Linked DNA regions of Saccharomyces cerevisiae S288C. Changing the gene in region 2 together with the main gene of any one other region gives a genetic interaction. Each region holds a gene or a part of one and is shown on either strand. Other genes may lie near its edges. The genes, in order: SEC31 and PIB2.

The links.
Region 1: of PIB2 (region 2) and SEC31, a mutation in one rescues a mutant of the other (synthetic rescue), as found in Saccharomyces cerevisiae (one study listed by BioGRID).

Annotation. Positions count from the first base shown.
Region 1 is NC_001136.10:105,374-113,793, forward strand, and holds SEC31 (Sec31p), read left to right. Parts: upstream 1-1,834; coding exon 1,835-5,656; downstream 5,657-8,420. Other genes in the region: ASF2 (Asf2p), read right to left, coding at 1-1,121; SNF3 (glucose sensor), read left to right, coding at 6,207-8,420. UniProt on the Saccharomyces cerevisiae protein: Component of the coat protein complex II (COPII) which promotes the formation of transport vesicles from the endoplasmic reticulum (ER).
Region 2 is NC_001139.9:449,697-454,019, forward strand, and holds PIB2 (Pib2p), read right to left. Parts: upstream 2,409-4,323; coding exon 501-2,408; downstream 1-500. Other genes in the region: PGD1 (Pgd1p), read right to left, coding at 1-261; dolichyl-diphosphooligosaccharide--protein glycosyltransferase subunit STT3, read left to right, coding at 2,708-4,323. UniProt on the Saccharomyces cerevisiae protein: Functions as an intracellular glutamine sensor that directly activates the TORC1 signaling pathway, to promote cell growth when glutamine is available. May play a role in repressing NPR1 activity independently of TORC1 signaling.

The DNA.
Region 1 (8,420 bases), on a different chromosome or scaffold from region 2:
TGTTTGCGCTGGGCTGGTGGTAGCCGTTGAATTAATGATTGCACGTAACTCTGCAGTAGCTTGATGGTATTATTTTTTCTTTCTAAATGCAAGTGGGTAGTTCGGCTCCTCTCATCGGCCATTTTCTTATGCAACCTTAGATCTTGCAATTCCTGTTCCTGGATAGCGAACAAATCCTCTGGATTGTTTTCCTCAAAGGGGTCCACCAAAGTCACATTGGTGGGGATTTGTACTTGATTTTGTGTTTCTGTTTCTATTTGCCCCTTTGTTTCTGATTGTTGCGATAGTTCTGCTTGTAATGCTTCGATAGTCTCCCTCTGGTTAGCGATGCTTTTCTTGTAGGATAACATCGTGAGATTGGCTTTGTCGACCAGCTCAGGAATACATTTAAGATAGTCATCCTTTGCTTTAGCCTGCTTCTTCAAGTGCTCCAGTGATTTGGTTGCTTGTAGCAGTTGCATTTTCAAGTTATTCACTTTGATTTCGGAATTTTTTCTCACGTTATTCAGTTCTCGCCTCACTTTGGCCAGCTCTTTTGAGCTTTCTGCATCAAACACCTTGCTGTCTAAACTTAGTTCTAGTCCTTCGTAGTATTTTTCATGGAACGTGTGAATCTCATCTAACTTGGTGTTCACCGTGTTCTGGACGTTTTTGTAGTCCTGTAACTTGGCGCAGATTTCCTTCTTGAGATTAACAAGCAAAGTGTATTCATCGTAGTTGCGTTCTTCTTTGCTAGAGGGAAGTCGAACAAGTTCGATTCTCTTTTCAGCAGAGCTCTTGTGCGTTTCCTTTAACGCGTTGTTCTCATCCAGGATACTTTTCATTTTTCCATGTAAACTAGCCATCTTAATTTCATAGCCTATGATCTCGCCGGACAATAACTTGGCGCTAGACACTAAAGCGGCTTCATTTTCTCGGTAATGATTCACTAAAGATTGAAGCTCCTTGACTTTGCTTTTCATCTGCCTTAAAGATGACTTCTTTTGTACTCTTGAGCTGCTGAGGCCCTTCGTCACAGCCGCATATTCCTTGTCCGAGTTGAAAGATGAGCTCGACTCCTGATCACTACCATCTATCACACTGCGAGTGATGGCATCCAAGACACCACGATTTTTTGGCATAAGCACTCAGTCTTGGCCTTTTTCCCTCCTTTCTCCACTGATCGAAGCTGTGTGCAAAAATCGTCCCCGGTGTTTATTTATTTGTCCTATGGATAGATATGTTACTCACGCGTCGCGTCGCTCCTAAAGACATGAAAAGCGCTTTTACATCTTTGCTAATACTAGCATCGCAGAAGATCTTCTCCATTGCTATGCAACATACCTGCCTTGGTAGTTGGTTTCATAATTTACAATATACAAAGTTATATGCCCTCCGAGTCAAGGAAAAGATTGTCTTCCAAAAAAGGTGCAACTGTGCGTTTAGAATTGGTGGAGAATTATGTGATATGCTTCTTCACCGTCCTCTGCTTCTGCCTAATACCACACTCATCAATTGACTGGAGATCTGGCCTATCTTGCTACTACTTCATAGATTTTTTTTTTTTTCATCTATCCCCTTCCATCCCCTTCTGGTTCTACCCCTTCAGCGTGAAAAATCACCATACACGATCAATCCGCCCGAGAACGAAAAGTGAAAAGAACAAACAAGTCGTGTCAGATCCATTCCTCTATTCCTGTAGTCGGGTTGCATTCTGAATTTACACGTCACGAACCAGCACTATTTCGCTACTGTAGGTGTAGAACATTAGGACAAGGCAAGCTTCTGCGATAGACACTTTACTCACACATATTTCCCTTTGTTCCCGTTTGCTCTCCCTAATTGAACAATAAAGATGGTCAAACTTGCTGAGTTTTCTCGAACAGCCACGTTTGCGTGGTCACATGATAAAATTCCATTATTGGTCTCTGGTACCGTATCTGGTACGGTGGATGCTAATTTCTCCACTGATTCATCTCTAGAATTGTGGTCATTGTTGGCTGCTGATTCGGAGAAGCCTATTGCTTCCTTGCAAGTGGATTCCAAATTCAATGATTTGGATTGGTCTCATAATAACAAGATTATTGCTGGTGCTCTGGATAACGGTAGTTTGGAATTGTACTCCACCAATGAAGCAAACAACGCTATCAACTCCATGGCCAGATTTAGCAACCATTCTTCCTCTGTGAAGACGGTAAAGTTTAACGCAAAGCAAGACAACGTTCTTGCTTCGGGTGGTAACAACGGTGAAATTTTTATTTGGGACATGAATAAATGCACTGAATCGCCCTCCAATTATACTCCATTGACACCGGGTCAATCGATGTCGTCCGTTGACGAGGTCATTTCCCTAGCATGGAACCAATCTTTGGCCCATGTTTTTGCATCTGCCGGGTCGTCTAATTTCGCATCTATTTGGGATTTGAAGGCTAAGAAGGAAGTCATTCATCTAAGTTACACTTCACCTAATTCAGGTATCAAGCAACAGCTGTCCGTTGTTGAATGGCACCCAAAAAACTCCACAAGAGTGGCAACGGCTACTGGTAGCGATAATGATCCATCTATCCTGATCTGGGATTTAAGAAACGCCAACACACCATTGCAGACTTTAAATCAAGGCCATCAAAAGGGTATTTTGTCATTAGATTGGTGTCATCAGGACGAACATCTATTATTGTCCAGTGGTAGAGATAATACCGTTCTTCTATGGAACCCTGAGTCAGCCGAACAACTGTCCCAATTCCCAGCTCGTGGAAACTGGTGTTTTAAGACCAAATTTGCACCAGAGGCTCCAGACCTATTTGCTTGTGCCTCCTTTGATAACAAAATTGAGGTACAGACTTTGCAAAATCTCACAAACACTTTGGATGAGCAAGAAACCGAAACTAAGCAGCAAGAATCTGAAACAGATTTTTGGAATAATGTTTCCCGAGAGGAATCAAAAGAGAAGCCAACTGTTTTCCATTTACAAGCCCCAACTTGGTATGGGGAACCATCTCCCGCAGCTCATTGGGCTTTCGGTGGTAAATTGGTTCAAATTACTCCAGATGGTAAAGGTGTATCTATAACAAACCCAAAAATTTCAGGCTTAGAATCAAACACTACTTTGAGTGAAGCGTTGAAAACTAAGGATTTCAAACCATTAATAAATCAAAGACTGGTCAAAGTTATTGATGACGTTAATGAAGAAGATTGGAATTTATTGGAAAAGTTATCAATGGACGGTACTGAGGAGTTCTTGAAAGAGGCTCTTGCATTCGACAACGATGAATCAGATGCACAAGACGATGCCAACAATGAGAAAGAAGACGATGGGGAAGAATTCTTTCAACAAATTGAAACCAATTTCCAACCCGAGGGCGATTTCTCCTTGTCTGGTAATATCGAACAAACTATTTCCAAGAACTTGGTTTCTGGCAACATTAAGAGCGCTGTGAAAAATTCTCTAGAGAATGACTTACTAATGGAGGCCATGGTGATCGCATTAGATTCAAATAACGAAAGATTAAAGGAAAGTGTCAAGAATGCCTATTTTGCGAAGTATGGATCTAAATCATCGCTCTCGAGGATACTATACTCCATTTCTAAGAGGGAAGTAGATGATTTGGTTGAAAATTTGGATGTCTCTCAGTGGAAGTTTATCTCTAAAGCAATTCAAAACTTATATCCAAATGATATCGCCCAGAGGAATGAAATGTTGATTAAATTGGGAGACAGGTTAAAGGAAAATGGTCATAGACAAGATTCTTTGACTTTGTACTTGGCTGCCGGATCATTAGATAAGGTGGCTTCAATTTGGTTATCAGAATTTCCAGATTTGGAGGATAAATTGAAGAAAGATAATAAGACAATTTATGAAGCTCATTCCGAATGTCTAACTGAGTTCATTGAAAGATTCACCGTATTTTCCAACTTCATTAATGGAAGCTCTACCATTAATAATGAGCAATTAATTGCCAAATTTTTGGAATTTATCAACTTAACTACTTCCACAGGAAATTTCGAACTAGCCACTGAATTCTTAAATAGTTTACCAAGTGACAATGAAGAGGTTAAAACAGAAAAGGCACGTGTCTTGATTGCTTCCGGCAAATCATTACCGGCACAAAATCCTGCGACAGCGACGACCAGCAAAGCCAAGTATACAAACGCCAAGACAAATAAGAACGTTCCTGTACTACCAACTCCTGGAATGCCTTCTACTACTTCTATTCCTAGTATGCAGGCACCATTTTATGGTATGACACCAGGCGCCTCTGCAAATGCTCTACCTCCAAAGCCGTACGTTCCAGCAACCACCACTAGTGCTCCTGTTCATACAGAAGGTAAATATGCGCCACCAAGCCAACCTTCGATGGCGTCACCTTTTGTTAACAAAACAAATAGCTCGACCAGATTGAATTCTTTTGCTCCTCCGCCTAACCCATATGCCACTGCAACAGTTCCTGCAACGAACGTATCTACAACGTCGATTCCGCAAAACACTTTTGCTCCTATACAACCTGGTATGCCTATTATGGGCGACTATAATGCTCAATCTAGCTCTATTCCTTCACAACCTCCAATTAATGCTGTATCGGGTCAAACGCCACATCTCAACCGTAAAGCCAATGATGGTTGGAATGATTTGCCTTTGAAGGTCAAAGAAAAACCATCTCGTGCCAAGGCTGTATCTGTTGCCCCTCCAAATATCCTATCGACACCAACTCCATTAAATGGTATCCCTGCAAATGCTGCTAGTACCATGCCTCCGCCACCTCTTTCCAGAGCTCCCTCTTCTGTGTCAATGGTATCACCACCTCCTCTACACAAAAATTCTAGAGTCCCATCCTTGGTTGCAACTTCTGAGTCACCAAGGGCATCCATATCAAATCCATACGCTCCTCCTCAATCATCACAACAATTCCCAATAGGTACTATTTCTACAGCAAACCAAACGTCAAACACCGCTCAGGTAGCTTCATCGAACCCCTATGCTCCACCACCACAACAAAGAGTAGCAACCCCATTATCTGGAGGCGTGCCTCCAGCTCCGTTGCCAAAGGCCTCTAATCCATATGCTCCAACTGCAACCACTCAACCCAACGGTTCCTCCTATCCTCCAACCGGTCCGTATACTAATAACCATACCATGACCTCTCCTCCTCCCGTTTTTAACAAACCTCCCACTGGCCCCCCTCCGATTAGCATGAAGAAGAGAAGCAACAAGTTAGCTAGTATAGAACAAAACCCATCTCAAGGTGCTACTTATCCTCCAACCCTTTCCAGCTCGGCCTCTCCATTGCAGCCTTCTCAACCGCCAACTTTGGCTTCTCAGGTTAATACCTCCGCTGAGAATGTCAGTCATGAAATTCCAGCTGATCAACAACCCATTGTCGACTTCTTGAAAGAAGAACTGGCTCGCGTAACACCATTGACCCCAAAGGAGTACTCCAAACAATTAAAGGATTGTGATAAACGATTAAAGATTCTTTTCTACCATTTGGAAAAGCAGGATTTATTAACCCAACCAACAATCGATTGTTTACATGACCTCGTCGCATTAATGAAGGAAAAGAAATACAAAGAAGCTATGGTCATCCATGCTAATATCGCTACAAACCATGCTCAAGAGGGTGGTAACTGGCTGACAGGAGTGAAGAGGTTGATTGGCATAGCTGAAGCGACTTTGAATTAATTCAGTCTCAAAACTTTCAGTACAAAAAGTGGCGTATTGGCCTTGTTTTTTTCTTATTATGTCTTATAGTATTATATTTATATATTTATGTACTTATCCTTTTATGTTTAAACCTAATCAAGATCACAATTAGAACTAGCTTAACATTACTTCTCAAAACCAACCAATACCTCTTATATCTTTTTTACAGCCTTTCCCTTATGTTTTTACCATGTACACCTCGAGCGGCAAATCTCCGGGGAAATTTTAAACTTGCCGCATCGCACATTCTAAAGAACAAAAGGAGGAGGAACTGTCAATTATTCTATAATCTGGGGAAATTCAGTCATACTGAGAAAAACTAGACAATAGTCCTATCCTCGGCAAATTGCATTGATAGTACTTACACATCGAGAGATCATAGGACAGATAAGAAGCATTTTATTGAAGAAAAACAGAGAGAGTCACTATAAGTTGACCTCACTATAGAAATTAAAACAGAAAAGTTTTACTGAGGACCTTTTTAAACAGAAGGATATGCCTTTGTTGGCATAGAAAGAAGAATTTATAAATGGATCCTAATAGTAACAGTTCTAGCGAAACATTACGCCAAGAGAAACAGGGTTTCCTAGACAAAGCTCTTCAGAGGGTGAAGGGCATAGCACTGCGACGAAACAATAGTAACAAAGATCATACAACAGATGATACGACAGGTAGCATACGAACCCCTACGAGCTTGCAGCGGCAAAATTCTGACAGGCAATCTAATATGACATCCGTGTTTACGGATGACATTTCTACCATAGACGACAACTCAATTTTATTTTCAGAGCCTCCTCAGAAACAATCTATGATGATGTCTATATGCGTAGGTGTTTTTGTTGCAGTTGGCGGATTTTTATTTGGTTATGATACAGGTCTGATCAACAGTATTACATCTATGAACTATGTGAAGTCACACGTAGCACCTAATCACGATTCATTTACCGCCCAACAAATGTCCATTTTGGTGTCATTTTTGTCATTGGGAACTTTTTTTGGGGCTTTAACTGCACCATTTATATCTGATTCGTATGGCAGGAAGCCTACTATCATTTTCAGTACAATTTTCATCTTCTCTATCGGAAATTCTTTACAGGTAGGTGCTGGAGGAATCACATTATTGATTGTGGGAAGGGTCATTTCAGGTATCGGTATAGGCGCAATTTCAGCGGTTGTTCCATTATACCAAGCAGAAGCTACACATAAATCATTAAGAGGTGCTATTATTTCTACTTACCAATGGGCCATTACCTGGGGCTTGCTCGTGTCAAGTGCAGTGTCGCAAGGGACACACGCAAGAAACGACGCATCTTCGTATCGGATTCCCATAGGGTTGCAATATGTCTGGTCGTCATTTCTCGCTATCGGGATGTTCTTTCTCCCTGAGAGTCCACGCTATTACGTTTTGAAAGACAAGCTAGATGAAGCAGCTAAATCTTTATCGTTTTTAAGAGGTGTACCAGTCCATGATTCTGGGTTACTGGAAGAACTAGTTGAAATAAAGGCAACATATGATTACGAGGCATCTTTTGGTTCTTCGAACTTCATTGATTGTTTTATTTCAAGTAAAAGTAGACCAAAGCAAACTCTAAGGATGTTTACGGGAATTGCCCTTCAAGCATTTCAACAATTTTCAGGTATCAACTTTATATTTTACTACGGTGTCAATTTCTTCAATAAGACAGGAGTCAGTAATAGTTATCTGGTTTCATTTATAACCTATGCTGTTAATGTTGTCTTTAATGTTCCTGGTTTGTTTTTTGTGGAATTTTTTGGTAGACGTAAGGTGCTGGTTGTTGGGGGTGTTATCATGACTATAGCCAACTTTATTGTGGCCATTGTTGGGTGTTCCTTAAAGACTGTAGCGGCCGCAAAAGTTATGATAGCATTTATATGTCTATTCATAGCTGCCTTTTCTGCTACATGGGGTGGTGTTGTTTGGGTTATTTCAGCAGAACTGTACCCATTGGGTGTGAGATCTAAATGTACGGCTATATGCGCTGCTGCTAACTGGCTTGTAAACTTTATTTGTGCTTTAATTACCCCTTATATTGTAGATACTGGGTCGCATACATCATCATTAGGTGCAAAAATATTCTTCATTTGGGGCTCCTTAAATGCGATGGGGGTGATAGTTGTTTACTTGACCGTTTATGAAACGAAGGGTTTGACATTAGAAGAGATTGATGAATTATATATTAAGTCATCCACTGGTGTCGTGTCACCAAAATTTAATAAAGATATTAGGGAACGCGCACTTAAATTCCAATACGATCCTTTGCAAAGATTAGAAGACGGAAAGAACACTTTTGTTGCTAAAAGAAATAATTTTGACGATGAAACACCAAGAAATGATTTTCGAAATACGATATCGGGCGAAATAGATCATAGTCCCAATCAAAAAGAAGTTCATTCTATCCCAGAACGTGTTGATATTCCTACTAGTACAGAAATTCTTGAAAGCCCGAACAAAAGTAGTGGTATGACAGTCCCTGTGTCACCTTCTCTGCAAGACGTTCCAATCCCGCAAACAACAGAGCCTGCTGAAATTCGAACCAAATATGTGGACCTAGGAAATGGGCTTGGTCTTAATACGTATAATAGAGGGCCTCCCTCACTCTCAAGCGACTCAAGCGAAGATTACACAGAAGATGAAATAGGCGGGCCCTCATCTCAAGGCGACCAAAGTAATAGAAGTACTATGAATGATATTAATGATTATATGGCACGTCTCATTCACAGT
Region 2 (4,323 bases):
AGTCTGGAATCTATCGTTCAGTTGCAAAATCTTGTCTCTGATATGTAGGTATTTGGCCATACGGTCAGCCTGCTTGGATCCTTCTTGGTCTATGTTTGCCATTATCTGTATGAATTCATTGAACTGCAATCGCAACGGCAGAATTTCATCGCGTGCTTCGTTGATCTGCTTACACACTTTGTCCCTGGTTTCATTCTCGTTCTTAGCCAATATCACTTGTAAATCATCTAGCTTGACGCCTGCCGGTATAATCGAGTCCATTCCGGTTGTCTTTACTGCTGTTGTGTCCGTTTTGCGCTGCCTAATTGAAGAAGTCTTGGTGACTGTTTCTGTTGTTCTCTTTAAAATTTCGCTCGGCGCCATACCGAAAATCCTCAGGAAAGTGTTAGTGTTATATATTATATTATATTATATCATATTATATTAAGTTTATTGTATACATAATGGTCATACATCAATAGTGTACATCCTCTCTTCGCTTGTCTCGCAAAAAATGTTCATCAGAAACTACTCCAATTCCAGTTTGCAGGCACAGAGCCGATAACACTGCCCAAAACATCATTACCTTCTTCTTGTTCTCCCCCCGTATTCTCATTATCTGCTTCTTCGTCGTTCGACTTCACCTGGATGGGCGTTGTTGTGTCTCGATCAACCGTGGCATGCTCTTGGGACGAACCGCCCTTCTTTGGTCTGAAAAGAGCGTTCATCTGCCTATTCTTGTAGTAATTGCGTAATTTCTTCCTATTGTCATTATCGTCATCTTCGCCCTCCTCAACGTTTATGTTATCCTCGTTCGTGTTTGCGTTATGGTTCGTGGTTGAAAGGTTCTCGTACTCGACCAGACAGTCATCGCATATTTTACAGAGAGTGCCACCGCCATTTATGCCACCGTTGTTTAGTTCGTTGATCATTATAAAATTTGCCTGCGAGTCCAGGTACAGCCAATGGCGCAAATGGTCTTGACAAAAGATGTCCCCGCAATGCCTGCAATGATGTTTCCTTTCCCACAGGGTAAAAGGCTTATGGCAGTAACGACAAGAATTCCTCTTACTGTCCGGAATCCAGTGGTCCTTAGTGGGCGGGTTTACTCTGGCAGAGTTTCTGTTTGAAATAGTTGGTATTAAGTTGATTCTGTCGCTGTTCGGAATAGAATTCGGGAACAAGTACGAGGATATTTTGTTTTTGTAGCTTTCCAAGATTGACGATGTGTTGGATTGTACGCTGGATTGAGAAGATATGATCCGTAGGTTGTTCGCATTCTGAACGCTAGCGGATTGCGACTTGCTTGGATTAAAGCCATGTTCCAGGTTAGATGCCTTCTTGTAGTAAGACGACAATGTTGCATTCAACAGATCGTCATTAGTTATGTTTGTCTCTGAAACTTTCCTCAGCACGGCGGGGATGTATAGCGGTTTTTTAGGGTTACTGATCTGTCTTACATTTGATTTATGTTTATTGGAATTAAAATTCAGATTAGTGCTCGAAGCAGGCTGCGGTAAAAATTCCAGCGAGGGTTTCCTTAGCATCTGCTGATGCGGCGGTTTCGCCGCATGATTCACCGAATCAATAATGACGTTCGTGTTGCCAAACCGCAGTTGGGACATCGAGCTAGAATTCGTTGTAGTCAGCTTGTCGACAATATTTTCCACCTTCGACGTCGACGATGACGACACTGAAGACGTGGACGAAGATGAAGACTCTTTCGCCTTGTTTTCTTTACTCAACCTCAAATTAGAACTAGCATTCATTTTGAACGACGACAACTTGCGTAACGCCTGCGTGGTTAGATTCTTTTGTCGAACCTCGTCATCGTCATCGGCATCATCTTCTAACTCATTGAACACAGTTTTGCTCTTTGTATTCTTGCCCCTGCTAACATCCACCACGCTATTGGTGGGATCTAGTTCAGGGTTCGATCTTTGGTCATCCGTGAATGGCAACGTCTTGCCGATCTCCTTACTAGCAGAAGCCTTCCTACCATCTATCTGCCCTTCACCGAGCTTGCTACTGTGGCTGCTGCGAACATTCTCCTCAGCAGAGTTCTTCCTCAATATGGACACCATCGCCGGAGATTGGATCTGCTGCTTTCTGTCAACAAACCCAGTGCCTGCCCCTGTTGAGCTCTCTTGCTGCAACTGCTGCTGACGATGTTGATTTACCATCGATTTCAATGAGATGCTGCTCAAAATACTCTGTTCGGAATGCGTTGACGCCCTGGGCGCTATCTTCTTCTTTTCAAACGTGATGGGAGATGTCACGGTGTCAGCACCGCTTTCCTCATCACCTTTCCTGCCACGGTAGTCATGGTTCCTTGGTCCCAGGGGAACTCCTCTGCCGTCTCGCTCATCACCGTCCTCCTCCTCTTCCTTGATCGCGGGCGTTTTGGACACACTATGCAACGCAGTCATTCTGGTCTCCACTACAACTGTGCTGCCCAGTCCTCCTCACTGGCGCTTCGTACCTATTCCAGGTCTCAATAGTCATATCATAAGCTTTCTTTTACTTCTCTTCGCCTCTGCTAAATGGTCACCATCGACGGTTGCTTTTTCGCGCTGGTCGAGAATTGACAAAATAAGACACGAACAAAAGAGCAAGTCTGAAAGAAAGAAAAGCAGCAAAAGCACGGTCTAATTCAACGTGACATAGCATCCGCAATCGCATTCACAGCCGTAAATCCTAACTACCATTCGTCATTATCACAGCTGCCATGGGATCCGACCGGTCGTGTGTTTTGTCTGTGTTTCAGACCATCCTCAAGCTCGTCATCTTCGTGGCGATTTTTGGGGCTGCCATATCATCACGTTTGTTTGCAGTCATCAAATTTGAGTCTATTATCCATGAATTCGACCCCTGGTTCAATTATAGGGCTACCAAATATCTCGTCAACAATTCGTTTTACAAGTTTTTGAACTGGTTTGACGACCGTACCTGGTACCCCCTCGGAAGGGTTACTGGAGGGACTTTATATCCTGGTTTGATGACGACTAGTGCGTTCATCTGGCACGCCCTGCGCAACTGGTTGGGCTTGCCCATTGACATCAGAAACGTTTGTGTGCTATTTGCGCCACTATTTTCTGGGGTCACCGCCTGGGCGACTTACGAATTTACGAAAGAGATTAAAGATGCCAGCGCTGGGCTTTTGGCTGCTGGTTTTATAGCCATTGTCCCCGGTTATATATCTAGATCAGTGGCGGGGTCCTACGATAATGAGGCCATTGCCATTACACTATTAATGGTCACTTTCATGTTTTGGATTAAGGCCCAAAAGACTGGCTCTATCATGCACGCAACGTGTGCAGCTTTATTCTACTTCTACATGGTGTCGGCTTGGGGTGGATACGTGTTCATCACCAACTTGATCCCACTCCATGTCTTTTTGCTGATTTTGATGGGCAGATATTCGTCCAAACTGTATTCTGCCTACACCACTTGGTACGCTATTGGAACTGTTGCATCCATGCAGATCCCATTTGTCGGTTTCCTACCTATCAGGTCTAACGACCACATGGCCGCATTGGGTGTTTTCGGTTTGATTCAGATTGTCGCCTTCGGTGACTTCGTGAAGGGCCAAATCAGCACAGCTAAGTTTAAAGTCATCATGATGGTTTCTCTGTTTTTGATCTTGGTCCTTGGTGTGGTCGGACTTTCTGCCTTGACCTATATGGGGTTGATTGCCCCTTGGACTGGTAGATTTTATTCGTTATGGGATACCAACTACGCAAAGATCCACATTCCTATCATTGCCTCCGTTTCCGAACATCAACCCGTTTCGTGGCCCGCTTTCTTCTTTGATACCCACTTTTTGATCTGGCTATTCCCCGCCGGTGTATTCCTACTATTCCTCGACTTGAAAGACGAGCACGTTTTTGTCATCGCTTACTCCGTTCTGTGTTCGTACTTTGCCGGTGTTATGGTTAGATTGATGTTGACTTTGACACCAGTCATCTGTGTGTCCGCCGCCGTCGCATTGTCCAAGATATTTGACATCTACCTGGATTTCAAGACAAGTGACCGCAAATACGCCATCAAACCTGCGGCACTACTGGCCAAATTGATTGTTTCCGGATCATTCATCTTTTATTTGTATCTTTTCGTCTTCCATTCTACTTGGGTAACAAGAACTGCATACTCTTCTCCTTCTGTTGTTTTGCCATCACAAACCCCAGATGGTAAATTGGCGTTGATCGACGACTTCAGGGAAGCGTACTATTGGTTAAGAATGAACTCTGATGAGGACAGTAAGGTTGCAGCGTGGTGGGATTACGGTTACCAAATTGGTGGCATGGCAGACAGAACCACTTTAGTCGATAACAACACGTGGAA